Drosophila melanogaster: one gene and its partner. The protein of the gene in region 2 interacts with the protein of the main gene of each other region in a pairwise test. Each region holds a gene or a part of one and is shown on either strand. Other genes may lie near its edges. The genes, in order: CG44001 and CG30393.

What was found.
Region 1: the proteins of CG30393 (region 2) and CG44001 interact in a two-hybrid assay, tested with the Drosophila melanogaster proteins (one large-scale study listed by BioGRID).

What each region holds. Positions count from the first base shown.
Region 1 is NT_033779.5:5,035,676-5,053,151, reverse strand, and holds CG44001 (uncharacterized protein), read right to left. Parts: upstream 9,883-17,476; 5' UTR 9,769-9,882; intron 9,351-9,768; exon of another isoform or gene 9,144-9,350; intron 8,846-9,143; exon of another isoform or gene 8,545-8,845; coding exon of another isoform or gene 8,463-8,544; exon of another isoform or gene 8,440-8,462; intron 7,756-8,439; exon of another isoform or gene 7,669-7,755; intron 7,331-7,668; coding exon of another isoform or gene 7,227-7,330; intron 7,006-7,226; coding exon of another isoform or gene 6,808-7,005; 5' UTR 6,585-6,807; coding exon of another isoform or gene 6,177-6,584; 5' UTR 6,049-6,176; coding exon 5,946-6,048; intron 5,880-5,945; coding exon 5,673-5,879; intron 5,610-5,672; coding exon 5,374-5,609; 3' UTR 4,789-5,373; downstream 1-4,788. Other genes in the region: senju, read right to left, coding at 1-68; eIF3h (eukaryotic translation initiation factor 3 subunit h), read left to right, coding at 417-497, 838-1,515, 1,582-1,839; CG9121 (uncharacterized protein), read left to right, coding at 2,275-2,494, 3,135-4,361, 4,433-4,788; CG44000 (uncharacterized protein), read right to left, coding at 6,177-6,584; CG33995 (uncharacterized protein), read right to left, coding at 6,808-7,005, 7,227-7,330, 8,463-8,544; CG31650 (uncharacterized protein), read left to right, coding at 10,439-10,661, 11,316-11,463, 11,613-12,270; SP555, read right to left, coding at 12,976-13,032, 13,125-13,343, 13,412-14,041; CG14042 (uncharacterized protein), read right to left, coding at 14,395-15,030; Col4a1 (collagen type IV alpha 1), read right to left, coding at 16,415-16,675, 16,944-17,476.
Region 2 is NT_033778.4:21,262,104-21,275,359, reverse strand, and holds CG30393 (uncharacterized protein), read left to right. Parts: upstream 1-7,780; 5' UTR 7,781-7,844; coding exon 7,845-8,909; 3' UTR 8,910-8,996; downstream 8,997-13,256. Other genes in the region: CG30391 (uncharacterized protein), read left to right, coding at 9,115-10,131; Rgk3 (Rad, Gem/Kir family member 3), read right to left, coding at 3,074-3,190, 4,446-4,599, 10,827-11,039.

The DNA of each region.
Region 1 (17,476 bases), on a different chromosome or scaffold from region 2:
GACATGTACAACAGGAAGATCACAAATGTGAGCTTGGTGGGGAACAATTCACGCCAATTAGTTGACATTTCTGCGGTCTTCGTACTGCCAGCGTTGCGTTGCTAATGCGAAGAGAACTAAGACTAGCTACAAGTTGCGGCAACCGCAGTTATCAGTACCGTTCCGCTCGTTCGTGACAAGTGGGCCGTTTCTCGGTTTTCTAGGAAGTACAATTTTGAGTTTGTTTCTGTTGCTTTTCCACTGATAAACAAAATATATTTTGGGCCTTTTTTTATCGCTCGCCCGAACAGCTGATTTTAAAGCAGTGCACGCTTTTCAACACTTCAACCCACACAAAAATTGTGGTGTTGCGAAACGCCCTTTTACCACTGCAGCCGAGTTCACGTCGTGGGTCTTTTCGCTTACAATTCGTCAACATGGCAAATCGCGCAAATCGTCATGCTGCTCGCACCGAGGATTCGGATAATACCATTAACTACGTCCAATGCGACGGACTGGTGAGTAGTGCTGTTGGCCAAAAGACCTGGCCGAGATTGGCCCGTGGGAACCGGCGCGAAAGCCGGAAAAGTTAATGCCACGCGCTGTCTCAGAAATTTGCGTGCTTTGTGTGTGTTTGTATGGGTGTTCGTGAGGACATGGGCGTAGAGCTATAAGGAAAAGGGGGCCGGTCTCTTCATTACCATAGCACAAAAAACTTCAGTCAAATGTTTTCTTCAGAGAAACTATTAAAAGAAAGTCCGAAATATATCTACTTTCCACGCCCCTGTTCAAATGCAAATAGTTGTCTGTCGCTAATTGATTTTGGAACATAATTACTACGATCACTTTACCTTGCAGGCCGTCATGAAGATGGTGAAGCACTGCCATGAGGAGTCGAGCAACATGGACCTCGCCCAGGGCGCCCTGCTCGGTCTGGTGGTAGACAAGTGCCTGGAGATCACCAACTGCTTCCCGTTTCCCAAGAGCGGCGATGAGACCATGGACGAGGAGATGTACCAGCTGACCGTGATGCGTCGCCTGCGTCGCGTCAACGTAGATCATCTCCATGTGGGCTGGTACCAGAGCTCCGACGTGGGCAACAGCCTGTCAATGGCTCTGTTGGAATCGCAGTACCACTACCAGACCAGCATTGAAGAGTCCGTCGTTGTCGTCTACGATACGCAGAAGTCATCCCGCGGATTCCTGTGCTTGAAGGCCTACCGCCTTACTCCGCAGGCCATTCAGATGTACAAGGATGGCGACTTCACTCCAGAGGCATTCCGCACCCTGAAGGTCGGCTACGAGAACCTCTTCGCCGAGATTCCCATTGTGATCAAGAACTCGCCGCTGACCAACATTATGATGAGCGAGCTGAACGAGCTGCTGCCCGAGGACAAGGGGCACAACTTCCTGGACCTGGGCACCGCCACCGTATTGGAGAACCAAATGCGTAGCCTGATCGAGCGCGTCGACGAGTTGTACCAGGAGGCAGTGCGCTATAACAAGTACCAGCAGGTGGTCTTCAAGCAGGATACGGTACGTAGCAATATAATTAAATATGTAAAAATTCCTAATCGCTTTCCTTGCATTTATATTTTTTAGGAGAAGCACCGTGCTCTGGCTAAGCTGGCCGCCGAGAACGCCGTTCGCACATCGAAGGGAGAGCCCACGGTGCCAGAGGAGGAAGTGATCAAACAGTTCCGCCCCATGACTGCGCCCAACCGCCTGACGGCCACCATAACCTCTGGCCAGATCAATACCCACGCCCAGCATATCGCACAATTCTGTTCGCAATCGCTGGCCAAACTCTTCATCACGGAATCGCTGCAAATTGCCAAGGAAGCAAAGGAAACCAAATAGATTAGCTAATGTTAAGCGTTTTTTAAGCTGAGGCAACAACATTCACTACCCACAAACATAGCAACTGCACACACAGACGTCGAAAATAAACCAAACAAGCGATGAGTGGGCTTGGAAGCGAACTGCCAGCTGATTTCTTCTTTATTGTACTCTCCATTTGCTCAATAGAATGGCCAATTCAAACCGCCCCAAAAAAAGAAAACCACCACCCGCTATGCAGCCAAAAATTGGTACTGCTTCTGCGCACGCCGGATGTTTGGTTTCACTTCTCGATGAGACTTTCCGGGGGAGTGTTGCTGCCACTGACGACATCGACGCACTTTTCACACCACCCCACAAGCAGCTGCTTATCATTTGGTTTGTTCTTTTCGCTTCGCCTTTTCGCTAACCAGCTTCAGTTAGCCTAACTAACTAAATTACTAACCCGATGGCAAAATGCTGTCCTACGACCTCAACGAACGCCTGCTAACCGCCGTACAGAGCGGAGATTTCGAGCAGGCTCTGGGCTGCATCATGCAAGGTGCCCAGGCCTCGTATGTATCGCCCACTTGCGGACGCACTGCCGTGGGCACGGCGGCCATTCTGGGCGATGCCGAACTGTTGGAGCTGCTGCTTCAATCCTGCGAGGAGCCCGAGCTGAATGTCTTTCATCAGTGTGAGTTTTCCTTCCACTGGTTCGTTCTGAAAACAAACGAAACTAACTTTCGGAAAATTTAATTGCATTAAAAACAAACACATAGAGAACATTAGAAAAAAAAATGCTGTGGGTAAGCTAGATAATGTGTATGTATATTGTTCAAAGGTAAAACATAAACATAAATAATAATAATAATAATCAATGGATCCAGGAAACGAATTAGTTAGATACAAGAAAATTTTAAATGAAGTGCCAGTTCGTTTGTTCACTTTTGGAGTATATATAATACTATACAGAATTTATTATAATTTTAATACTCCCACTAAGTTGAATGATCCAATTTTAGTCGGTTAATTTTGTACGTACTCAATTTCTTGTTGTGCATTCTTTTCTCTTTTCGGGTCTATCCAACATAATGCAAGCACAGAGAAAAGTAAGTGAAGGCCGGAAAACCGGTTATCGGTTGGCCAGTTAACCGGCTGATAACAATGCTCGACAATGGGTTCCAACTGCAACCAGACACAGTAGACACGGCTAGTTCTATGTGGCAAGTAACGAAAATCTTGTCAAACCTGAAACCTGTACTTCATACTGTCTTAGCAAAAAGATTTTCAAAAACTGCTTTCTTAGAACGTTTCACGTTGGTTTTGAATTGCAGCGAACACGGATAGCCTCGAGATCGAGCGGACGCCCGAGGGTATGGAGAAACTGGAGTGGGTGGATGAGTTCGAGAATAGTGCGGAGAATGGAGCGGGCAGCGGCGAAGAGGATAGCCAATTGTATCAGTATTATGCGAAAACCTTCGAAACCACCGGAGAGTTCATATCATCCCAGTGCTGTGTCTCCTGTCGCGAACATGATCCGCATCTCTACGATGCCGATGTGGCCACTCCGCTGCACTACGCCGCCTACTGGGGTCACGAGGAGTGTGTGCGCATCCTGTTGGAACACAACGCACCTATCAATGTCCTCAATAACGATGGATACGCGCCACTCCATCTGGGTGCCGGTTTCGCCGGTGTCACCGAGCTACTGATCAAGCACGGAGCCTTGGTGAATGCCAAAACCCTGAGTGATGGCAAGACGGCGCTTCATATGGCCATCGAAAGCAAGTGTGCGGAATCTGCCCGTCTACTGCTTCAAACGAACATCAACATCAATGACACGGATGATGATGGCGAGACACCACTGATGGCGGCCATTGCCTGCAGCATGTTGGACGTAGCTGAAGAGCTGGTGAAGCGTGGTGCTCGCATCAATATCCAGGACAAGCAGAATCACACGGCCTTGCAGTACGCGGTGAGGGGTCGTCACACCCAGATGGCCAAGTTGCTCTTAGAGCGCGGAGCACGGCGCCTGGCCTCCCAACACCTGCTGCATCTCGCCGTTGAGTCCAATGTCAAGGAACTGGTGGAGCTTCTACTGCAGTACGGCGAGAGTTTGTCCGTATGGAATCTCAAAAACTTCACACCCATCATGCTGGCCATCCATCGGGGGCGTCACGAAATGCTTGAGTATCTGCTGAACGTGGCTGAGGAACAGCGCAAGCTCGGACTCTACTCGGATGTCCACGATGAGGGCTTGGTTCTGTTTGCCGTGCAGCAGAATTTTTGGGTTAAGGAGTTTAGCCGCATACTGCGTGTATTGCTTGCCAAATCGCCCAGCGCTCGTAATGATTTCTATGACTCGTGTGCTCCGACAATCGTTTGTGGCCTGATTTATTGTCACACTCCGTTGTCCAGGGCCATCAACCTGCACCGCCTGGAGGTGGCCGAATTCCTCATCCACGAGGGCTGCAATCTGGCGCAGATTTGCCGGGAACATGTGGTGAATGAGCTCAGATCGAATTGCACACCAACACGATTGGCCTTTGCCAGGTTGCTATGTAAGTTGCTTACTCTGATCTTAGTTCCTATGAAGTACATGGTAGTTATTTTCATTTCCTATTGTCCATAGGCAACGCTGGCTTTCAGTTTCCGCACAAGCACCGACCCCTGCCCAAGGACTGGCCACCAGCGCGGCTGGAATTCGAGCGGGAAATGTGTTTGCTTGGCACCCAGCCACGCTCCTTGCAGTCTCTCGCTCGCCTGGAGATTCGTCGGAGTCTCCTGAGATGCCTGCAAACGCGGCCGGAGGTGCAGGAAAGGTATCTTCCCACTCAGGAGCGGTCATCGCTGGGGAGGATTGTGGATGAGTTCGCCATACCCGCCACCTTGAAGCGTTACCTCAGCGACTTTGACGAACTGCCGCCGGTGAGGGGTATGGAGCCGGTCGATATACCTGTTGTTAAATGGACTGAGTCTTGGGATTGATTGCGCTTTAGGAATTTTATTTTCAGATTATATAGGTTTTATATGTTTGCTATAATGATAGGTAGCGTATAGTTTTTGTAAATTGGCGACGAGTGTGTAGGAAGGTTCTGCAATAGTTTCCTTAATTTCAATTTCAACGCCAGATTAATTAACAACTTCGATACACGGACTCCAATGTGATATTAATTTTCTTACGATGTATTACAAATTTTGAACAGAATTTTCACGCAAATCTCGCATTTTTCAAAACGAGTTCCGTGTGCACATCCTGTTGGGCACAGAGTTTTCACTAAATTACTTGCACATTTTATGTTTACTAGGCATGTGTATATAGTCTATATAGAAGATTTAAACGATGTATGTATCCACTATGTTAATTTGACTACGCAAACGTTAAGATTACTTTTCCCATATACAATCGATCTCGCACACAATGCAAACAAATAAGGACGTATGCAATTTCTAAGTAGGATTTTACAACGATATCGGGTGCAATTTTATAGAAAACGTGTTAACAGACTCAATAAACAAAGATATTTAAACCGTAACGAATACGAATATGTTGAACGGGGAATGACAAGCCCTTTAGGGCTTCAGCAGCAGCTTAAAATCATCATTGGCGTTCTCCATGATGTACTCAAATGCAATTTTGTCCTTTTTATCCTTGACCAGCTTAAGTGTTGGCTCCTTTGCCAGCAGAATGCGACACACCTCCAGGTGGCCCCGCATCACTGCTCGATGCAAAGCGGTCTGTCCGCTCTCGTCCTGCAGCAGAAGATTAGCCTTGTGCTCGACCAGTAGCTTCACGATTTCCAAGTGGCCTGCCGTCAGATTAAAACTCGTAGTATTGATTGATCATAACTGCGATTTGCAATGGTTGTTACCCATCATGGCTGCACGATGCAGCGCGGTGGCTCCTGCTTTGGTCACAGCATTCACGTCTGCCTTGCCCTCGTCGAGAAGCAGCTTGCAGATGGGCTCGTTCCCATTGCGGGCCGCATAGTGCAGAGCCGTATAGTCGCAGTCATCGCGAGCCATCGACTGGCCCTTCTTGATAAACTCTCTTACACGCTCCACTTCGTTATAGATAGCTATACAAAATTAAAGAGTTGGTCAAGGACGATAATAACCATAAGATTCACGGCTGTATTTCTTACCTGCATTCCAAATGCCTCGATCGAAGTCCATGTCGCTTAACGTCTGCTGTGCCGGCTGCGTCTGCTTGTGGCACTTGCAGTTGTCCGCACTATGTGGATCCATCTTAGCTTGCCGATTATTTCGAGATATTCTCTACAATTCCGAATTCCGAATTCCTTTTCCGCTTCTTTTGCTTTCGCTGCCAGTTGCCTGATCTTTGACGCTATAACAGTGTGATCTCATCAAACGAATTAGACCTCACGCTGCATGGTCCAACAAATTTCGGCTTCGCCGCAACTGCAGACAACCTTGTAGCTTAGCTGGGCGAGAGTGTTCAGCATAACCATGGGCGGCACTGCCACCATAATACCATTGACGCACGCCTTAACACCGCTCTCGAAGCGCTTGGACAGGGCTTGAACTTCCGCTTGATTCAGGCCAAAAATGGTGCAGGTGTAATCGTGCAGCGAGCCCTTGACGGTCACGTAGGCAAAGTTGCCCTCCGACTGCAGAATGGGCACCGGTATGGTCACCACATTGGCCGGTACGTTGGCGGTGGCGGCGTTCAAGGATGCAGCCGATGCCGCGGACACGACAGTCGAAACAACTTCGCTATTGAGATTCTGAGGTTCCTTCAGCCCGACTGCGCCCTCACTCATAGTTCGTTCGTCTGAAGGGACTCGCTTGGTCGCCTCCTTTGCTCAGTGTATGTTATGGAACAAAATTCCCTAGGTTACTATAATTTTTTTTTTTTCTTTTTTCACACCGAAACACGCACACAATTCACACACACACACACTAAATTATACAACTAGAGTAGAGTTCTTGGTTGATTGCTGCTCTTTTTTTTTTTGTTTGTTTTGGACTGGATGGGATGCGGGTCTATTCAGGCGAATCCACCTTGTGATAGTTGCCTAAACTGGCTGCCTCGCGGCCAATATTCGATAGATTTTCTCGCACCACGGACTCGGCTTCCAAGGGTTCTGGTTCGTCGAACTCCTTGCGCATCGTCCACATGTACTCGTTGTAGTCCTGCTTCACGGCAGTCGATGAGCTGGCCACTACGCGAAATCCCAGGATCTAGAAGGAAAAATGCAGAAATCGATGAGTCACTGGATAATTGAAAGTTCAATAGGAAGGGAAGTGGGGTTGAAAGTTTTACTAAAATAATTAATCAGTGCCTGCTCGGCGAATTGTTTAAGTTGATAAAATAACTGCTGTCTCATTAGATAGCGAAATGTGTGTCTATAAGAAAATATCATTCTGAGTAGGTCGGTATGGGATCTGGAAGGTGTACTCACTTCTAGCGCCGATAAAATCCGACAAGGATGCACTAAGTAGACGATGGTGGACTCGTCGCTGTAGCCGCCGCAGGAGAACTTGTTCAACTGCTCGATGTCGTCAGCTGGAAGAATGGGCAATGGTTATCATGGGTGCTACTTTTGATAAAATCGCTTTCCTTTTCGCTAATGTTTAAACAGTGCAAACAAAAGATAAACTCGGCTGTGTCGAAAAGTGACGTCAGCCCAGGGCAATTGTCTTTCAATGTGAGTGTGCTAATTAAGCGAAATGGCGAAAGAAATATTGACTGCTGTTTCATAATAAACGTAAAATGGGAGTATCTCGGGAGTATCGTATTTTCTTTGTCCCTAGACGATCCCAGTGCATTGACTTCTGCGCCGCACAGATACTACTTCCAGAAATATGCACCGGAATCGAGTGCATATATGTGGCACTACGTACGGCTGTATATATAGATATCTACAAATATAAGCACGACAGGCCGCTCTGCCAGGCGAACTGCACGGAGCGAAAAACAAACCCAAACTGGCGAACTGAAGACCTCGTCTGCGGGCACCAAACTTCGCACAGTGGCGGTCGAAAAAAGCGGAATGGTGCGGGCAGGCGGATTTCCAGGGGCAAATGGAGTGCAATTAAAGGGCAGCTGTTGATTTTATGAGGAAAATAACTACGGCACAGCGCTAATGGTTATTGGGTAACCAGCAAATAAAAATAGCTTGCCGTAGATTTTTTTATTTATTTTTTTTTTATTATTGTTTCAGTGAGATTTACTGTAACTTTACAATTCAAAATGGGAGTAGAATTTGAATGTCAAAAAATAAGTATAGGATTGGATTTTCAAGATGCTTTCAGTATTTTAAAGAATATAACTAGATAAAGTTTTAAAACATTACATTGTATTATTATGACATCAAATAGGCGTGCATTTGGTCATGTTTCCAAGCTTGAGCAAAATACATGCTAGATATTGAAACAATAGTTTGAAAATAATATATGTATATAATATTTATACAGCCACTGTCTAACCATTCAAAAATTTGTTTTTTTTTTTTTTTTTTTTGTGGTGCAAAGTGGAAAAACCGAAAAGAGCGTTCAGAAATCTATCGTGTGTTCGTATCTGTTTGCCAAGCTCTCGAAATGAATTGTGTGTGTCGCAATGGTAAACACACTACAAATAAAAGCGAAACGAAACCAAAAAAAAAAGAGATACTGTATCTACGCGGTTCAGGCTTTACCTTTCAACCCGGAGACGAGCACCCTCCATGGATATTTGTGGCTGTAGGAGGCTAGATTCCCCCGTATGATTATGTACGGCATTTGGCCCGATTACTGCTGAATATATCTGCGGATTAATTAGCGCGGGCGTGCCAACGAAAGCCGTGAAACGTAAGTGAAAACCAAATGAGATACGAAACCGTGAGGCAGCTAATGCTCGCTGTGGCGCTCTGCTGAAGGCTGACTCTCGACTGAAACCGAAATCGGGTAACACGTTGTTGACCAAGAGGTTTTCCCAGCGCTAGCTCAGCTCTACTGCTTTGGCTATTTTGTTTGGTTTGGTTTCGTATTTTTATTTCGCTTTTGGGCGTCGCGCAGCGCTGCTCTCTGAAATGGTTAGCAGCTATTTTTTTTATTGGATTAGCCTGCGGCGTAAGGTGGCAGATACCCAAATGACAAAGTGACGCACTCTGGCCAGGATAATCACTCGACCGATATATGTACGATATGACCCAACCCAGTGGCCAAGGCGGAACATATACCTAGATGGCTATATGGTTCAGGGGACATTCTAGAACCAGATATTACTGGACATTCTTTCCTAGCTCAAAACTTATTTATATATATTATTATAAACAAAATGAATTGAATTTAGCCTCAGAAATGCTAACTTTCCTAAAAACAAAATCCCATTCGATCAACGCTTTCAAAACATGCAGACAGTGCGAGTGCAAATTTTGAAATGGATTACCTTATTGCAATCCCCCTTGGAATTCCACCAGCGACATCCCTGAGCCATGCGCCCTCTCGCTCGCACTCGCTGGCGGGGTGGCACCCCGCGACCAGTTGCATGTGAAGCTTTAGTCAGTGACTATAATTACTGACCTGACCGACCGGTCGACTAATGAGTAAGTATTTCTGTCGCTCGGCGCCCAACGAAAATACTAATAAAATGAAAATAAAAGTCTAACCAAGCCGGTCAACAACTCCTACCCACATACACATACATAGCCGCGCGCGCACACACACACACACGCACACGTAGGCAATTGGGGTCCTGGAAATGCACACGCACACACCCAGTGGGCTCAAGTGTCCTTTGCGTGTTTGGGGCACACAAAATGAACGTGAATTATGATCAAATTTCGAAATAAATAAACGCGCGGCTCCAAATGATTTTTATGCCACACAGCTGTCGCAAAATGATGTCATTTGAATTTAATCAACTTCGTTCGCCCACTTTTTTTTTAGATGTTTTCAGCTTTTTTCCTTGTTGCTTTTAACCTGCACAGCACTGTGTTGGTGTTTTTCTCTTTAAGAGCTCACCTGCTAAATTAACGAGGCTTTAGTTTAGCAATAATGCGCTTTTCGCCAATTTGTGCAATTTATTTTCTTTTATTCCTCGTAATGTAAGTCAGGGCTGGCGCGTAGCAAACACTGCTGTAAAGTTAACAGCAAGGTGGGCAGTGTTGGTAGGGCGTGGAAACACCAGGGCTGCACAGATGCTAAACCCAAAAATCGATGGGCTAACATTTATTTTTCGCTGACGGTCACATTGTCTGCATTTTCGTTTCTTTGGTGTACGCAAATAAATAAACGAATTTTTATGTGAACATGTATTAATATGTATAGGTAAATAAATTAATTTCCATGCCCATAATATGCACGTGTGACTGAAGGGCTGTGTGGTTAGGTAAACAGTTGTGGTCAGCGAAATATTGGCAAGGCAAGCGAAGACAACAGCTGTCGGTGATTATTTAAAATTCAAAAAATAGTTTTTTTTTGTTGTCGGTTTTTTACTGACATTTGCATATTTCAGAAGCAGGCGAAAGGTGAACTGAGTTCATTGTGCTGTTGGGCATTACGTGTGCGTCCATCCGGTCTCCCTCCTCCGCCGGAACATCATCCCCCCCATCCACTCGAGAACTCGGGAAGCTGCCAAAAAAAAAGAGAAAACAAAGACCAAAGAACACGCCGCTTGGCATAATCAATTAAAATGCCTAGGAATCTGCCGCTCCTCCCGCTGACCCTCTGTGCCGTCGCCTTGCTGGCCGCCGTGGGTCCCATGCCCGCCCATGGGGCGGTGGCCAACAGTCACAAGCACGAGAAGCACCTTAGCAAGGAGCGGGTCAAGGACGGCATCTACGCTCCCCGGGATGCCCACCACCACGGCGAGGATGGGGAGCACAACGTGGAGTTCGATCACGAGGCCATCATCGGTGAGTCAGCGCTAGTTAGCAGAGAAAGCAGATCATATTCAGTTTGAGAAAATCACTTTGAAAAGAGCGAAAAAGACTCCTTACAATGAAGGTCATAAAAGTAGTGCTCATTTCCTGAAAAGCAAATAAAATATAATCACGTTTTTTTGCCAGAACAACAATAGAATTTCCAGTTTCAGTTGTTAATTTGTAGAAATATAAAAGTTTATTTTAAGGATACTTTCCAACCCAATGAAATTATGAGTATTGACCATAATTTTGTATTATTTTAGTTATGAAAAGGACTCATACTTTTTTTTTGTGTATGCTATGGTGTATGCCATATGTTTGTTTACTTGCCTGAGGTTTATTTTTGTGGGTCTGCACACGGAAAGACTCATTCAAGCATCAAGAGAATACGGATCAGTCAATACACATACCCATTTATGCTCAAAAATATTGCTTGAAGGTCGAAATATAGTTTACTAATGAATTGGAATATGCTGTAAGAAAATGTATTATTGAAGTATATAAGTTTGTATAGTTTTATAGTGAAATCATTAAAATTGTTTTCTAAAAGCAATACGTCAATGGCATTGCTGCTGTTTTATGTTCCATTCAGTTTTAAATGCTAATGTATGTGTGTGCTATTATTACTCTTTAACCACAAAAAAGGCAACACGAAAGAGGCTCAGGAATTCGACTCACTTTCGCCAGACGAATCGAAGCGACGACTGTTGATATTGATCAAAATGATGGATCTGAATAAGGACGAATTTATTGACCGGCATGAGTTGAAAGCCTGGATATTAAGGTCCTTTAAGTGAGTGTTGTCTGTTGATTAATACTGCATCAATGTTAGCCAAGCCAATAATCACCTCAGCAACCTAATGCTTTGTCTAAATGCTTGCCTAAACTGAAAACGCATAGACTATTTGAAGCTTTTACTAAAATACATAATACAACTTGCAGAAAACTGTCGGAGGAAGAAGCCGCTGATCGATTTGAAGAAATAGACCAGGATGCGGACGAGAGAATTACGTGGAAGGAGTATCTCCAGGACACATACGCCATGGAGGATGAGGACTTCAAGAAGGAGACCATCGACTACGACAGCTACGAGGATGAGCAGAAGATGATCAAGCAGGACAAGGAGATGTTCAATGCGGCCGACACGAACAAGGATGGTGTGCTGACGCTGGAGGAATTCGTTTTATTCCAAAATCCCGAGGAGCATCCACAAATGTTGCCAATACTGCTGGAGCACACGATGCAGGACAAAGATGCGGATCACGATGGCAAGATCAACTTCCAGGAGTTTGTCGGCGACGCAGCCTCGCACCACGACAAGGAGTGGCTGATCACGGAGAAGGAGCGCTTCGACAAGGATCACGACTCCAATGGCGATGGCGTGCTGACGGGCGATGAGGTCTTATCCTGGATTGTGCCAAGCAATACGGCAATTGCCAACGACGAGGTGGACCATCTCTTTGTCTCCACCGATGAGGATCACGACGATCGCCTGTCCTACCTGGAAATACTCAACAACTACGATACCTTTGTGGGCAGTGAGGCCACCGACTACGGCGACCATTTACAAAACATTAACCATCTCTCCGACGAGCTCTAGATGCCATTCAAAGCCCCATCGTGCTATAGTGAACCTGTGCTTAGTATTGTATTTCGTTTAAATAGTTAGTAAATTTATGTTTATTTATGTAAATTCAAGTGACAATTGCAAATCAATATCGCCAAATTCTTTTGAGCACTTCTTACGAATTTAATTTTCAATACTATTTCGTTTGTTTCGTCATGTATCAATTACATTATGTGTAGTAATTTATATAAACAGAAACAAAAATCTACATAAAGCGTACTAAATAATTTTTACTAAATTACACTTTGCTTTATATGCAATTTATGACTAGACACATTTTCATTTTGTTACATTACAGTACTTAGGCCTTAATTGCTGTCTGCGAATTTACAAAATTAGTTTAGCAGCGTGTTCTTTTTGACTAGATTTCACACTCGTCTGTACCGAAAAATATGCTTAGCTCTAGATTATTTTGCGATTTTCTAGCAAGCACTTGAAGCCCCGAAAAACGTTTTTCTCATTTCTTATATCACAAATATTGCACCAAATTGGCCTATTTTCCCACATTTTCGCTACAAATGAAGACAAATCAAAAGGTCGGACGACTATTATCCACACAAATTCCGAATGCTTAAACTTAGCACGCTCTAAAGCTACTACGAGAAATGCACACGTCCCAGAGGAGCCACTGCATCGTCTGGTAGTCATTGGGCACTCCAATATGTGATGGCACTAAAATCATTCACGGGCCTCATACAAATCGTAATTCATAATGCACATCTCCAGCTGATTCACCTGGGGGCGAGGACGTACTCTATAAACTTAGCTTACGTTGACCGGACACGATCCGAGCTCTACAAATCACACAGTATATCGTAGTTGTCTACCTGACGCAGTGGCTTCTTCTCGTCGATCACCTCGCTCAGATAGTCGGCGATGGGCAGCGGCAGCTTCAGCTTCTCCAGCTGCGCAGCGCTTCGTACGCGGCGCATGATCACCGCCCGACAGCGATCCTGTAGGTTGACGAACTCCCTCCTGGTGCACTTTAGGGTCATCTCCGTTTTGGCGGCAGTAGAGCATACGATGGGGTACAGGGGCTCATCAATCTGTTGGGCAGTTAGGCGAGATTCTAGAGCCTGATCCTTGGAGGATTGAACAATTCAACCGGACTCACCTGATCCAATCCGCGGAAAGCAACGCCCAGGCACTTGCCATCCTTGTAGAAGGTGAGTGTGCCCTCAATGCCATCGAAGAGAACGCCAATTTGGGTGGGTTGATTCTCGCGGAACCGCTTCGTGTACAGCAGGGCCACGCCCTCGTGCCAGAGCACGCCCTTGTGGGACAGTCCCCAGCCGTGTTCGTTCTCGCCCAGCATGTTCCGGAAGGCGTTGGCATGTAGCCGTGCCGACTTGGTACCGATACCGAACATTATCGAGGTGCCAAAGACGCGCTGCGAGACATGAAGCTCCCAGTAATGCCGTCCGTTATTCAGGGATCTTTTGCCCTGGACACCGGCAGTGCCCTTGCTCCAGTTGGGATGGAAGTGCACGGTCCGCGAGTTGGGTCCTCTGAGCACCACTTCCTTGGAGCGGTGCCGCTTGCTCCACGTCCAGTTATCCTCAACGCCATTGGGCAGCGGACAGAAACGGGGTGGCGGCGATGTGGAAGATGATGCATCCAGTGAACCGGACGACAACCCTCCTGTTACTCCTCCTCGTCGACCGGTTGGACGACGTCTCCTCGGGGCAATTGCCGCTATGGGATGGGGGTGAGCCTGCTGTGGATCCACTTCAACATCAGACATTGTGTTGCGACTAGAAATTTTTTCGCTTCTCAATTTGTATCAATTTGACAAAGGGAACCCTTCGAACTGTTGGGAGGGGGGGGGGGGGTTAAGTTTTCAATAGGGTTGGCTTCCTGGGGTTGATGAGCTTCTCCAGGTCTCAAAAGTTGTTGAAATCGTTCAAGGAGCGGCTTCAGGGGTGGCGTCTTTAGCTCGTAGTTGTTTGTTCTTTCGTTTCTCTGGTGGTTAACTATGTTATACAATTTTTTTCAATACATCTTTATAGCATAGTTTTTATGAAGGGTTCTTCAGTTCTCCAGACGAACTCCAAGTGGATGATTCTTTATGCAAGGATGAGACCAAGAGGCGTTTATCTACAAGTAAGTGGTTAGTAGGGGCTGTTGGATATCCTCCTGCGGCAGGTCCTGCAGCTCCGCTTCCTCCTCCAGTGGAACGTCCTCAATAATATCCTGATCGAAGGACGCCTCCTCCTGCTCCTGCGATCCAACGCTGGTCAGTGAAGCGTAACCACTGCTCAGGGAACTGCTGCTCCAGCTGGCACTCAGTCGGACTGGACGATAGCTTCTCGTCGGTTGCAGTTGCTGCTGCTGCTGGCCAAGAGTCCGCTTTAGCTCCCGCTTGATTCGGCGAATCTGCCGGAAATCCTGCTCACCACCGGAACCCCTCTGCCTGTGCAGCTGCAGCTCCTGCAGATGGAAGTGATGGCGACAGTAGCCCTGCGGACTGTGAGCACAAAATCGACAGGCCTCGGAATTGAGGCCACCAACGAGCGGAAGGATTGGTTCGAGGATGCGACGCTTCTGGCTGCGCTTCTGTTGCTCCAGCTGCTGCTCCGCCAGGCGCTGTGGCGCCTTACGATCGCCCACCGTTTCGGCCACCTCCTGCAGCAGGCGCACGTTCCTCGGGAAGCATCGGTCGTGGACGTAGAGCACCAGGCGTTGGCAGTAGAGGCACAGCGATTGGAACAGCAGCAGCAGGACGATAATCATAAATATGTAGGGGTGGTGGTGTGTCCTCTTCCTTTTTTTTTTTTTTTTTTTTGGTGGGGCGGAAGACTGCTGCTTCTTGGGAGTCTCTGATTTTGGTGGTGCACTTCCCGTTGGCTTTGTGGTCTTGTTAGTTTATGCAAATTTCACGCTGCTTTCCAAACGAGAGCTCGCAATTTTCACTGTTTTTTTTTTCGAGGTACACACATTTTTTCCGTCTTGCTGCTCCTCCACACCTACAAAAAGCAGCTCCTCTTATCTGGCTGAAGTTACAACTCCCACCGACGACCGCCTCCGCTTGCGTCCAAGTCACACTGGCTTCTGGCACTTTTTTTCCAACTCACTTTTACGATTCCAACTTGAATCGCCCCACAAAGGCCTACCCTTATTTTCCACGACCTGCTTCCAACCACCAATTGGACTTTGTGCGCGTGTGTGTGTCTGCATATCATTATCATATGGCTCGGTCCACCCCACTTTATGCCCCGCAAACCGTCCACGGCGACCCCAATCGTCATCGCCACCCCCTTGACAGCTAACCAACCCCCTCCCCCACCGCAAATCCGCACAAAGAGAGGCAATGGCATGCGCACAAGTGCACGAGGTGAGTTCGCTCTCATCCTTGGCTTGGCATTGCTTTTTTAAGGGTTCTCCGCGACGGGGTTTCCACCACAATAGCCTACCCTTAGCCCTGGTCTTTTGAGGAAGATCTTATCACTCAATGTTAGGGGTAAAAAGTATGCAGTATTTGTCTTGCAGGAAGTTTATCACTGAAGGGCATACGATTTTTTATCCTCAACAATATTTGCTCTAAATAGGCTTGTATGAAATTGTGGTCGTAATTTGTATTTATAAATTTTAGTTTATTTTAAAACGATATGCGACAAGTTTTGTATAGCAGTTGAGGATTCGATTCGTTCGATATTCGTTCGATACCGCGTTTTGTTGCATTGTTTCGCATTTAATCGGTTTCAAAAATAAATGGAACATGCTGGCACATAGTTTATTTTATACTTTTGGACATACGACCGAGGCTAGTTTATTTATTTGTTTCATTTACTTAACATACGTAACGTAACTTAGAAGCAGTTTACATTTGTTTAGAACATTAATTGGCAGATAAAAAATGGCATTGTGGTCCAGGTCGGTCGGTAATTAGCACTTCGACTTGTGGATCCGTTTTTTTTTCTTTTTGGTTAGATTAAGGAATTTGTAGCAGTGTTGGTTCGTCGGTGTATGTATGTGTGTGTGTGTGTTGGTTTGTTTGTTTGTGTTTGTGTTGTGATCGTGTGGGTGTGCACACGATTCGTTGGTAATTTTAAGGCTTTACATTTAGATTAAACTTATGCTCTGTGCTGTGGGTGTGTCTGTGTTGGGATTGGAGGTCCTACGAGGAGTTCTTCATGCACACCTGGCACCTGGACACATGCGACTGCCGCTCGCCGGCCTTGATCGTCTGCTGCTGTGGCCTCTCGAACGGCTGTGAGGACTCCAGGTTGTACATCCAGAAGCTTGTCATCGTCTCATAGAAGTGGCACGTGCCCTTGGCGCCGTTGCACTCGATGAAGGGCGTTGCACGGAAGTCCTCCAAACAGGAGCCAGGCGATTGCAGCGCCTGTCCACCGCCACCGTTGCCCACGGCAGTGTGCTATTATAGGAAATGGTTGGGTTAATATTAGCATCATTATAAAAGAACTATTTAAAATCCCACAAGTAGTTAGGAATAAAGGTTGAAAATTAAAACTATTGTATCAAATCTTTCGCTACGCAGTATCCAACAGATGGCGCAAGAGTGTCGTTGGAACGTGCGCCATCTGCTGGAAAGCTAGGGAAACTTCGGAAACGCATCCCTTGTGGATTTTGAAAACTCTCATCATTCTTCTATAATCTAACGTTATAAGTGTTCCGATACTCACCATGAGGAAACTGTAGCCAATCCAGAGACCCTCCCAGCCATTCGGACAGTCGGGCACCTCTATCGTTTGACTGTGCACGGCGATCACATTAGCCGGCGCCTCACAAACGACGCAACGTGAGATGTACTGGCGGATCTCGATGTTTTCAACGGGCATCATCGGAATGGCGGCGTTGGTTGTCAGCCAGAAGGTCTTGTCATTTCTGGAGGCGTAGTTGCAGACGTTATTCTGACCACACGACAGTACGGGCAGCGTTGAGAAGCGTGGCACACAGGATCCGGGGGATCCAAGGTCCTGGTTGTGGGCATAGTCATTGCCATCGACGTACAACAGGGAGTAACCCGTCCACAGTTCCGTGTGTCCAGCCGAGCAAGCGGGCACCGTTTCCGATTGACTGTGTCGCGTAATCAGGATACCGGTGAGATAGTCCAGAGCAGCGGGGGCTGGAGCACCGGGCTCACCCTTCTGGCCGATCAAACCAATGGCGCCCTCATATCCCCTCTCGCCTGGCTCTCCGCGATCTCCCTTGGGTC
Region 2 (13,256 bases):
ACGCCGACTATATCTAGATATAATCCGCACATCTGTTCGGATGTTACCCTTCCAACGCCCCAGCTGCCCCACATAGGGATAATGCCCGACCGAAAATGGTATTACCCAACGAAGATGCCGAGTCAAGAGCCTTTGAGCTCAAGTCGCGGCCATTGTCATTTGTAATCCCTCAGGCCGATGGATGTATGTACACATACATATGTATCTGTAATCATTCTGAATGTATATATACATGTCCGACACTGTACAACTTGTTCAGTCGCTGCAAGCGTATGCTGTGTACGTTTGAAATGTCATAAATAGATTTATTGCCAGCCTTATTGCATTTAGTCGTCGCGCGAAATCGACGCGTCTATATGTATGAATGTACATCGCAGATTTTTCAGTATTCGTTGGCATTTGCTGGCTCCTCATCTGCGGTCATTAATTGTGCAAATTGATTTAATTGCCAAAAGCGTTCTAAACATTTAGATTCGAGCACAGATGGGGGGTAGGGTTCCCCCTTTTTTTTTTTATTTTTTTCTTTTCGTTTTTGTGCACACAGGCATGGGCCGTCATCATTGGAAAGCCATAAAACCATTTTGGGTGGCCATATTACCAATTTCTTTTCTTTTTTTTTTTCTTGGCCATCGGGAATTGCGAGGCTGCGCGTGTGGGAAACAATTCATTTTGGAATAGGTGCAAACGGGCGGCCATAAAAATTGCGATTTAGTTTCGTGAAATTTCTCACATCATATTGCTACATGTGTATGTATATGCAATGTTCATATTTATTCTTAGCCATTGGCTATAATTAAAACTGACTAATCTCTGGAGTAATTGCAGCACTTTTTTTTTCCCCCAATTTTCCGTTGGCCATTCCTCAAACAAAACGTTTTCGTTTCACTTGTCTTTGATGTTGGTTCGGTACTTTTCATTTTCCACGGAGCATACTCATCTGTTTGTTTGCTCGGTGGGCATAACTATTTGGGAAAATAAATCGAACATTTTATTTGCTGATTGATTTACAGTGGGGCGAGTGTGGCACGAGATTTCGCATATGCTGCCACTTTTGAGATATGATTAACCGACTTCAAGGTCAGACGCGTTTTGTTTATGCGAAAATACACCCACTGCTGTACACAACAATCGAATGTTTGGCAATTGGCCGAAAATTGCCAATTGCTGGTAAAAATCAGGCAGAAATGCAAATACATATCCAGCACTCGCTCAACTTCATTCAATTACAGTACGATCCTGGCCCACAGGACAATTGTCGGCTCTTGTTTGGAGATGTATTTGTATGGAAAATTCATTCAGTCCTCTTTAGTGGCTGCCATCGATGACTGACACTCGGCACTGGGCATTTCAATTAATCATCACACACCAACCAAACCAGCCATTCCATCCAAAGCCACCCACTCCAAGCATATTCGATTCGAATGTCGGCCTGTCAGTTTTCCGGCGGCTCATTTTAAATTTCCCACTCGTGCCGACCGTAAACGTGCATATTTGATGGATGGCCACAGTTCCCTTTTTGCCGGGATGAGTATGCCCAGACGATCGGCCAAACATCTTGAGCGAATTGAAATTAATTAAATGAACGCACATGACTCCTGGCAAGAAATAACCGCAAAGCAAAGCTGCCACCTCTTGGCCACAACAACAACCAACTACAAGGTTTTTCACTTGTATTTGAAAGCAATTTAGTTGAGCAAACACAGACACTTCATTGAATTTTAATATGCATTGCATTTGGGGACGCTGCTCAGCCGCAATAAGAAGAAGTTAACAAGCGACTTGGGGTGAACTTTTAATACCCTTTGATGTTGCATGAATTTTTAAAAAAGGATGTGCGGGGTTGATATGCAAAGGAAACATGTTTATTCAAAGAAATACTTTTTTAAACGTAGTTAACTGTCAGAATAAAATGGGAAAAGAGGGATTATAGAAAAAAAACGTGTGGAAAAACTTTAAAACTTGTGTTTTTCATTCACATCTATTCGCAGCTATGTTCCATTCCATATATCTACTTATTTTGCGTCTGTCAAATGGTTCCGGCTCCTCCGTCATGACTAAGTTATGACACCTCGTGTGCTGTTAGTACGCAGGCTTGTCGTCTGTTTCCTGTCATGTCTGCTCAAGTGTTCCGTACTCCGTTCTCCGTTATCCGTATTCCGTATTCCGTATTCAGCTTAAACACGTACTTTAAGTCTGACGTGCATTTATGGATGCAAAACGCTTGCGGGAGCGGCTAAAGATAGCAACTATAATGCTCACCACCTATCTATGTAACCACAGAGAAGTAAAGGGATTTTGAAATCACTCTTGCAAAAGTAGCAATTGTTAGTCAAAACCTGATTTGTTTCTTCAGGCTTAATCAATCAGTTATTTTATAGAATCACTGAACTAAAAGACACTTTAATGCGCTAATAATCCCCAATTCACCTGAGCCAAGCAGTTTAGCTTGCTAATCGATCTTAATTGAATTTAAGACACTTGAAATTGTTGCAAACTTTCTCAACGAGATATCATCTTCAAACTTTCAACCAAGTGCCTTACAGTTCCGAATCGCACTGTAAGTGGGTTGCGATGGCACACAGTGCGTATGTGTAACAATAACGTGACACAAATGTAGAATATAAAGGGAGGAAAAAAACAAACACACACATATGTAATGGCAAAAGTTCGCAGGACTATGTGGCTATGTGAGTGTGTGTGTGCATATGTACATATGCATATGTGTTTTTTGGTCTGGGTATTCATATTCTATGCTGAGTGGCATTTAGTGCCACTGATATCTCCTTAACATCTTCGGGTAACAGCCTTTTAAGATTTCAATAAGGATTGCTGCGCTGCGTGTCCCGGAACGAAACTATAATTTTATGCCGTCTCGTGTATCGTGTGTCCCCAAGATGATGTGCGTGTTCCCAGGTCCCAGGACTCCCTGGCTCCCTGTTGGCCTCCAAACCCATGGCCGCATTGTTAAGATGTGTAATCCCAGTCATCTGGCCCTCGGGCTTTGTTGACTTTCAATTTCGAAATTAATAAATGCTCCTCAGTGGTCTTTGTTGCGCCACTCGGGTCAACTCACCTCCCTTGGAGGCGCTGAAAGTGCGCAATCTGTCCACATCCTCGTCGTCGTCGTTGACGCGCAGGTGATGCATGTTCATGGTGGGCACGTCCAGGAAGGCGTTTGATTTTCTGTGTGCTGAAAGAGATTAATGTGGATTGCATTAGGGATTAGGTTCAACCATTAGGCTAAGCTGCCTAGTTTGAATAATTTACAGATGCTTTAAACTTTAAACTCAAATATACTGATAAATGAAACTTGATTCTTATGATGATGATAAATGCACTTTTAATTGAAAAGCTGCGAAAACAGCGGAAAAGCTACCTTTTACCTGTTAGATACTTTTGACCAAGTCTAGTATACCCTTTTAACTCTACGAGTAAAAAGAATTTGAATATATGAATAAACATTGGCACGCAAAAACCCGAACGTAGATAAATATGCGAGAAACCCTTCGGTTAAACGTGCTGCATTATTGATTCAGTATTCCCTGCTCCAGCTGGCTGACATTTGGACAGCTTTAATGGTTTCCGTTTCCCCATGTCGAGTTGACAGTGAGAAGTGCCACACACGTATGTAGCTCACTTGCTGCCCGGGTAAACTGGGTCAATGGTTAAGTTCATCGAACGCCCACGTTAATTGAATCAACATTAGTGAAAGGTACTTAACAAAGGGACGAATGAAACAACCATATGCTCTGTTTCAGCTTCAACACCTCGCCTTAAGGACCTGCACTGCTGCAGGATGCTCCATGCTCCTTTTGCACACCAGGACCTAATGGTCAATTTTACATTGCCGCCGCTCTCGTGCTGCGAGCAATTTGGCTGAGAGCTTAGTTTATGCCACATAAAAGATCAGGCTTAGCACTTGGCTAATTTGTTGCCGTTGTTTCGCCGCTTTGATGGCTCCATCCGGCCATTAAAAGCCACAACTTTAACTAACTTATGTACAAGTGTGGTCGAAATTCTAGTGAACTGTGCTGCTACTAATGGAAGTGGTTTAAAAGCTTGGGCGAGTAGAGTGATACATTTTAGTTTTAAATTCAAGCTAACAACTAAGTGCTTGTCATTTTTGGTTTTAAGGCATAATAGTAGCTTGAATATCCTAAGTAAGTAATTTGAGGAAGTAATAAGAGGATGAAAAAGTGCTAAAGGAGCATAACTATCAAACTTTTTAAATCTTTTTGAGGTTTGTTTTATACTACTACTACTACTACATTTCAGTGAACCAAGCTAAGCTTCTTATCTACAAAGTTACCAGGTAATCCTATGAACTGCAATGTTATAGTTTACCAGCTTAGCATCAACTGCATTTTCATTTCTTTGGCATTCACTTGGTATCTATTTAATTCACCGCAATTGTAGATGCTCATCTCCGGGCGTAATTTACTCACCGTGCGTCTGTGGCCTCCGCTGCGATAGCTTGCGGCGCTGCGGAGGCGTCTCCGTCTCGCTCAGCCGGGGCTCACTGGTGCAGTAGCTCCGGGTCTCCTGGAGCGTGTGCTGCTGTTGCTGCTGCTGCTGCTGCGCCTTGGTCTTCTGGCGGACCTGCAAGTGGAAAGGAGGAGGAGGCGTGTCTTTAGAGCGGGCAACTATGTATAGCTATGTATAGCTATCTATCAAACGCGGCCCAAGGCAATCGCTGTGATTTATGGACTGCCCTTGCCGATTGACTGAGAAATTAAATTGCATTTCTCACACAAATCAAATTGCATTTGTTTGTCCTTTGGCGTAACAGACGCCCCAGACGCCCATCTCACTTGGCCACCGTCAATGGCATAATTTATCGGCTTGTCCTGGCCCTGGTCCTCGCTAGAAGGGCTCCTGCGCGATCCTCTTTGAGGGGAACTAGAGTAGGGATATCCACCTAAATGTCAAGGTTAAACGCCTCGGCCACTCCAAATGCAATCAGCGCCAATGCTTGTTTCGCCCGCCGCAAAAGTTTCCTGCTCAGGCATTGGCGGGTAGGTTGGAGCAGGAGGACGTGTCCCTGTTCCAAATCCTTCATGCCACGTCCAAGTGCCTGTCAAGCCGCCTCAGCTCTGCGGTGCTCCATTGGAAGCCTGGCTGGCTGCCTGCCTGACTGCTAGCTGACGACGGGGCGAAAACTAATTTCACCACTGTTCCGGCAATGTAAGCTTCTTGTTCAGTTTCTTTGGTCCAGTGTGAGGGCGATATATATTTATAGCTGTGGCCATAGCCGCATGCAAAACGTCCAACTTTGTTAGCCACTTCCGTTTTCCTTGGCCCAAAAATCCAAAAAAAAAAAAACAAAAAAAAACAGGGGCGAGGGCGAACAATATGATTTGGGTGTTGGGGACCAATTAGTTGGCAGTTCGAAGTTATTAAGTTGTGCCGCTTATGTCCTTGATTCTAATTAATGGGTTTGGTTTTGCGGGGAGTATGTTATATATACGTATAGGTATTCAACTTATGGCTTTAAGCCTTTGATACGATTTCTTAATTAAATTTAAAATTATGTTTAAAATTAGGCCTTCTACATGGAACATCTTTAAAATAAATGAAACCAGTTTGCTTTAAAAAAATCTACTATATGTTTGATTGAGTTATGACCGTAAAGGTTTTTGGCCTGAATTTGTTGCTGATCGGGAACCTTAATCCCCTGAAAGCCACGCTGATTCCGCCACTGTTCCCGCACAAGGTTTTCTCATCGCTGGAAAACGGCACGCCGGAAGCGCTTGCTACGTGGCGTCGGCTGTCAAGTGGCCAGGGATTTGGGCCACGTTGAGTTTCTGGTCAGTTGGAGGGACCGGCAAAGCCGCCAAATCCGCAGGAAGTGTGGCCAAGGGGGCGGGGCGGCGGTCATTAGGCGAGCTGTCAGTGTAAACGTTCCTTGTTTATTTAGTGGCCGCTCTTTTGCGCTTTTTATGGCGCACACACACACACATACGAGTTTAGACATATAACTACGAACCGGACTGTATACGTATGTACGCATTTATCCTGGCATTTCATGGGCTCTCGTGACCAGTAATTGCTCTTCTTTTTTCGACAAATGTTTGCATGGTCTACTTTGCCGGCTTAATCAAATATTACGACCATACGGACGGACACCCACATCTGATCCATCCGGATGCAGTGGTCAGATGGTCGATGCTTCTCGCTTCAGAAATTAATTGCTTCCTGGCTTCCCAGTTCATTGACCATGCCATGGTGCTCCGCGGCATGTCCTGCGGCGGAGTCTTCAATTTGTACCCGCTTAATCCCCAATTAGTCCTCTGGGGCAGCGCACATAATTTATTTTCTTAATGCGCCCCGTTTTACGGGCGTCGGGGGATTAAATTAAAATTCGAAATTAATTTCACATTTCCCAGACACATACTATTTGACTTTTAAATTGATAAGACATATGAGTTATTCGTAAGGTTGGCGTCTTTAAATTTAGTGATATCTTACCAAATATATCAATATTTTTCATTTATTTAGTTTTGTAAAATGTACATACATCCTATATTTTTCTTGCAAATTTATTGTGTCACTGCTTAAAGTTTTGATTGCACACAAGGCTGCAATTTCCTTGCCTCCGATGAACTTTTGTGTCGAAAGTCGCAAAATATTTCCCCATTCATGGCTGTCTTATTTATTTGGTTTGGCTATTTGTTGGTTTTTGTCTAGTATTTGCATGGGATATATCTGACTTTGGGCCACAGAATGCCGTGCAAAACGAAAATAGCATTACAATGCGACTTCATCGTGTTGGCTGCTGTTGTGGCATCTTCTCATTAAACTTTTGCGTCTGCAGATGAAAAGTGCTAGCGACTTATCGACATTGGAACATCAAGGCACTGAGCACTTCAAGTTTACTTCCTTGCTGCTTGCCGATTGTATCCTTACTCCCCGCTTCCTTATAACAAAAGTCGTTAAAGCATTCCTAACTCGTTTTTAATACCCTTTACTAACTTGCTTGGCAAAACCAGTACGTGTTTGTAGTACTTACTATTTTAAGCATATAGTTTTTTAACAAAATTTGAAATCTATTTCGTTTAGAGAGGAGTTATGTATATGTGCAATCATACGCCAAAATGTAGGCAATGATTTTTAGAAACCAGGTATTCAATAGTCGGTAGCACCAAGCACTTACTTCTCACTTGCTTAGCTGCGAACTCATTACGGCCACGCCCAGCCAGAACATGCCGCCCCCAAAAAGCGGGAAACCATATGTGTGTGTGTGCGTGTGTCTTGGAAACTTTTTCTATATAAATTACCAGCTCGGGGCGCATCTCAGGCGATGAGAACGACATTTTTAGCACGTTGCATGGTTGTACGGCTGCTTTTTGTTGCCTCGTTTGCTTACTAATAATGTCGCGAGCAGAAGCAGAAAAGCAGGGGATTCACCAGCGAGGGATATTCAGCACCAGAAGCTGCGAACTGGAAGCTACACCCCCCCCCCCCTCACCAAACCAGCCAGGAAAACTCATACGCAGCGTATGCCGCCACGTGGCGAAAGTCTTTTGTGCGAGACAACCATCACATCAGTCCGATGAAATTGAATTTCGCCACGATATAACTCAATTCACACGCCGCACTGCAAGTGCTCCTCCGAATTCAAGGCTCCTCGGACGGCTGGCTGACGGAATCAATTGAATTGGAAACGTCAGCGACTTCAGTTTTTCTCTGTATTATTTCAGTTGCGGTGATGGTAAATACAAATAAATCCAGCTTCCTAAAATAGGCCTTTCCTTTTCAGTCAAGATTCAGTTGAGATTGTCGAATAAGTCGGACGGGTTCGTCGTTATTAGAGAAGGAGGTATATATATACACACTAGTTAATCATGGAAACAACCGCTCAGCTGCAGCAATTGAAACCCCAACAGAGCGTCATGTCGCACGTCACGGTCACCGAGAGTGATGCCGAGTTTGCGATCTTGAATCTGGATTGCAACGAAGGTTTGGAGAGCTCGGTGACCAAGATTCTGGTGGCCATCGAAGAGATGTTCTGCAGTTACTTTGAGGATCTCAAGAAGGAGCTGGAACTGCAGAAGATGGCGGCACTGACCTTGAATCAGCTGACCCAACGTTACAGGATCAACACGAAGGTGGACACGAGCTGCACGTGTCCGCAGATCTATGAGATCGAATCGGATGATGCGATCATTAACAAATACTACATCTACTACCAGGTGATAGCCTGTTCCAACAATAACCAGGGTTGGGTCATCCACAACATGCGCCCCTATGTTCTCCTCTTTCGTCGAGAGTGCGCCAAGTTGAATCTGAACGAGGATAGTCCCTTCATCATGGGTGACGCTTTCCACAAGCCAATCAAGTTCTTCATCGACTTGGTGGAGGAGCTCTTCGCCTACTTCTACAGTGGACACGTACAGTTCGACTGCGCTGCCCACATGTTGGATCCCTTGGACTTGAACAGCATCGAGTACTATCAGAAGCTATTGGAACCCAATGAGGATTTCGCAAATTACTTCAAGTACAACATGAGCTTCTGCAAGTGCCTGCGTATGCCGCGCCGTTGTCCTGCCCACGAGTATCCGCAGGTGAAAGAGGACTTTAACGCCACCTTTGTCAATCAGGCCAAGAAGAAGCGGTGTGCCAGGCGATGCGAAAAGATGGCCGAGGCCGAGAGCAATTTACTGGATCGAAAGAAGTCCATAGTTAGACTCCAACGTCCCAGTGAGATGTCTGGCATAAGCACCGGTCAGGAATTAGACCAGGACAACGAAAGGGAACTGAAGAGGATCTCTAGACACCAACGTCGCAGTGAGAGGTCTATAATAAGTATTACTAAGGAAGATTACCATACTCCTCTGCCCGACAACCGACACGAGCTAACTGTAAAGGATTCAGTAATCAGATGGTCGGTGAACCCACAAATTCTCTGAAAGTATGATAAGTTTTTAAATTTTGTAAGCAGTTACGTTTATTTTATATGAGGTGTATAGAATTTAATAAATTGCCTACTGATTTCCAGTTTGTTAGGATTCATCATCTGGTATAGGGGTATCCATCATCGTCGACTTAAATGTCATTCATCAGAAGTTGTCCTTGTTTTTGCAGGGAAATACACTAAAACACACACAACCGAAAATGGAAATGCGCGATCGGCTGTACCAAATGATGGTGAGCCAGAGCTTTATGTCGAGAGGCACGGTGACCGCGAGCATGGCCAATTTTGCGATTGGAAATCTTAGAAGTTCCGATGCTGTAGAAAAGAGAGTGATCAAAATTCTGCTGGTGATCGAGGAGAAGTATCGGAGTTACTTTGACAGCTATAGGAAGGAGCTAGAGCTCCAGAGGATAGCGGCAGAAACACTGCACCAGCTAATCCAGCGCTACAAGATCACCATGCAGCTGGACACCAGCTGCACATGTCCGCAGATCTATGATATCGAATCGGATGATGCGATCATCAACAAGTTCTACATCCACTATCAGGTGATAGCCAGTTCAAACAAGAATCAGTGTTGGGCCATCCAAAGCCTGCGTCCGTATGTGCTTGTCTTTCGCCGTGAATGTGCCAAGTTGAATAGGAGCGAGGAGAGCCCCTTCATTCTGGGCGATGCCTTCCACAAGCCCATTCAGTTCTTTATCGACCTGGTGGAGGAGCTGTTCGCCTACTTCTACAGTGGACACCTTCAGCTGGATTGCGCGGCGCGTCTGTTGGATCCCTTGGATCTGTACCGAATGGAGTGCTACATGAAGCTATTGGAGCCCAACGAGGACTTTGCCGAATACTTTCTGCACAACATAAGCTTCTGCAAATGCATGCGGCCGCCACCGATGTGTCCGCCGTACGAACACCATCAGAAGATCAAGGATCAGTCCGACGCATATCTCAGTCATGCCAAGAAGAAGCGATGTGCCAGGCGGTTTGAGAGAATGGCCCAAAACGAGGCACAGACTGCGAAGCGGGAAAGCGGCTCAGTGGAACGGAAAATGTCCATTGGCAGCGCGAGGACGACCAGGAGTCTAAGTCGGGAGGCTTCTGTCGTGGAAGAAGCCGTATCCGTATCCAATCAGCAACATGAACGCACCCTAAGGGATCAGCTGATGTGCGCCCTTAGCATTTCCCCCGAAAAAAGGCACGACGCCACCAACCAATGAGGTCAACTCGGATTGTAATCGATCAATTAATTGGGCCAAGTGCACGTGATTGCGTTCTCCGTTTCTCGGAAATGCCGGCGGAAATGTAGTTATACCCAGTTAACTCAATCCCTTCAATATTTGTGGCACGCAAATGGGAGTTGTTTACCAAGTAAACTTCAAAGTGATTATGCACCTCAATTCGGAGATACTTTCAGCTGAGCACACTCGATTAAAAGTGAGCTTAAGTTTTCACTTCAATCAAGTGAGACACTTCAAAATTTGTTGTCAGACGAACCCATTGAAGTTTTTTCAAGTTGGCTTTAAAATTAAAAATGTGATTCGTGATTGAACATTATAATCTGTAAACTGCAAAGCTAACAAACAAATATAATAAATTCAATTCAGAGTAATATTTTTATTGATGCTCTAAGTGCCATTTCATAAAATCAATCAATTATATTTGCGAATCAAATGGTCCTTTTGGGAATTAAAAAACACATTATAATATTGTTGAAATGTCAATCTGCATGTGCGTGACTACCAAATGGGCTAAAAGACGACGTATTTATAGTAAGCAAACGTGCATTTATCTAAAGCTATAAATAAATAAGCAACTTTTGCCAGAGTGACGGGCAGATGCAAATGCTAATGCTAAAAATCTGTACCGCTTGGATGCGTTCCAAGCGCATTACGTATACGCCCCGCGTACTCACCGATCTGGCGCCGGAGGTGATGCGGGCGCTCTGGGAGCGCGTGGCCGGTCGGCGTCGCCGGTACCCGGGAGTACCGCCCTCGGGCGTGGCACTGCCGGAGGCGCCGGGCATTCCATGGATGACCGTCTCGATGCTGGCGCCGGTGGCACAAATGGAGGCGCTGCGCGTCTTCTTTTGCATCCGATGATGCATCGGTGAGATGTCGTCCACCATGGCGACTTCTCTTGATCTCGTTTGGTCCAACTCCTGGGAAATTTCCGTTTGTGTCCGGTGTGTGGTCTGTGGTCTTCGCCGGCAATTTTCCGTAACGAGTTCGGTCAAGTTGCTCTAGGATTTGCTACTTGTGTGCATTAAGCAGTTCGTGCTGTGGCTCTAGTTGCTCTATTTTGCTGCTGTGGATGCTTGGTTGCATAATTCATAATCTGAGTTTTGGTATGGTGTGTGACTTTAGTTTGTTTTATGGTGCACTCTGCAAATAAACCGTGACAAGCAAATGAAACGAATGCACAAAACATTTAAATGAATTGGTTTTTTTTTTTTTAAATAAAATTACACTTTATCTCGAATATTTGCTTCGGTCGTGACGTGACACAGAAATAACCCAAAGAAATACTGTGTATATATATTTTCGAAAAGCAAAAGTGAGCTACGAAAAGCGAATTTCATCTGCGTTCTACAAAATGCTATGTGTAACAACATGCAACATAATTTGCTGTGTGATTTTTCATTTCGCCCCGCAGCCATTAAACATAAAATTCCTCTGTTTGTTTTTCCAATCCCCCACCCCTCTACCACCATTCTGTTCATTCCCCCCTTTCCCCATTCGATTTATTTTTAAACGTGCCTCACGCGTCTCTTGAAAACTGGGTCAGCTTCGGTAGTTGGCCAAAGCCCATTCGCATTTTCAGTGGACACCCCAAAAACGACAAATTGCTACAAACAAATTTGAAATTTATACGAAGGGGCCAAAGCCTTTGGGAATTGTGGTTTCCATCGGAGTTATATAAAGGCTTAGATGACTGTTACTGTGCGTTGGTTATGCAAGCGATTGGGGTTATCCATTCTGATTCTGGTTCATTGATACCGGGTTAGTTGGTTAACTTTTCGTTTTTATATGTCAAAGTTTTTATTTCACTTAGTTTAATCTGTGTGTCAGCAGCCTCCTCGCTACCTTTTCAAAACAATTACTTTGTATCATTTAAATCTAACTTTATAGAAACAACTTTCTTATGCCAAATATTTGTTTCTAAGCCATAGCTTACTTTCCATTTTGTATGGACTACATTTATTGCTAAACCTCTTGATGAATGATTCCCAGAATTTTGCCGAGATTTCTTTCCATTGATTTCATAACAAATCGTTGTTTGGCTTCACTTGATCTTGTCCGTTTATCACGTAATCCCCATTGGTCCAAAAATAAACTCTTCATATTGGCTACAGTTGCTAACCCTTGCATCACATCATCCACATGTCGAACTCTTTCGTATGGTTTCCTATAGACAAAAAAAAAGCATTTCACAATTGAAATGTAAATAAAATGCTGGAAAATGTGGAAAGTTTCGAGTGGCACGGTGTGGAAAATGGTCTTTAAAGAGTTCGCCTAACTTAAATGAGAAACGTAAACTGCAGACTGCGAATTCTAATAGACACTAATTGCCATTTGCAAGGGCAGATTTCCCGAGGCGAAATTAAATCCATTTCTCAACTAGCCCAAAGGCAGGGAAACTCAAATTGAATTTTCCACCGACCGATGAGATGGGCTTTGGAGTGGCGGCTGCGGATGCGGATGCGGATGAGGTTGCGAAGGCAGCCGGCGGGCCAATCAAAACATATTTGTAATCCATTTAGGCATCCTGTTCGCTCCTTAGACATGCATCATTAGCCACTCGACCCGGGGCATCCTATTCCATCCAATTCCATCCATCCATTTGGCTGTCCTCCTCCATTCTCCTCCATTCCACAAATCGAATTACGCTTTCGCTATCTTTTCATCCGCACTTGCACTTAAGTGCATCCAGGACACTTTTCGCACATTGTAGCGAACTTGATGAACTTGCAGTTTTGGCCGCATTCATTCGAGGACTTTAAGGTCCTGCTGCTTGGTAATCAACTTGTGCGAATGATTAAACATAAATAATTAAAAAACGAGCCACGCTTTTTTTCGCGCTTCGAAGAGTAAAAGATTCGGGCCAAGTTCCTAGCCAGTAAATAATGCAAAGGACTCGGGGGAAAAAGGAAGCAGAATAAATACAAAAACTTGAAAACGTCTTTAACGCGACGGCTTATGCGAGAACAGCTTGAGATAAAGAGTCAGCGGCACTGAGAGAAAAAGGTAGCTAAAAGGGGTGCCTTAAAAATGGCCAAATGTAAATGTAAATTCATTCGACTTCCCAAGAAACTAAAAGTGTATGTTATGTGTAAGTGAAAGTG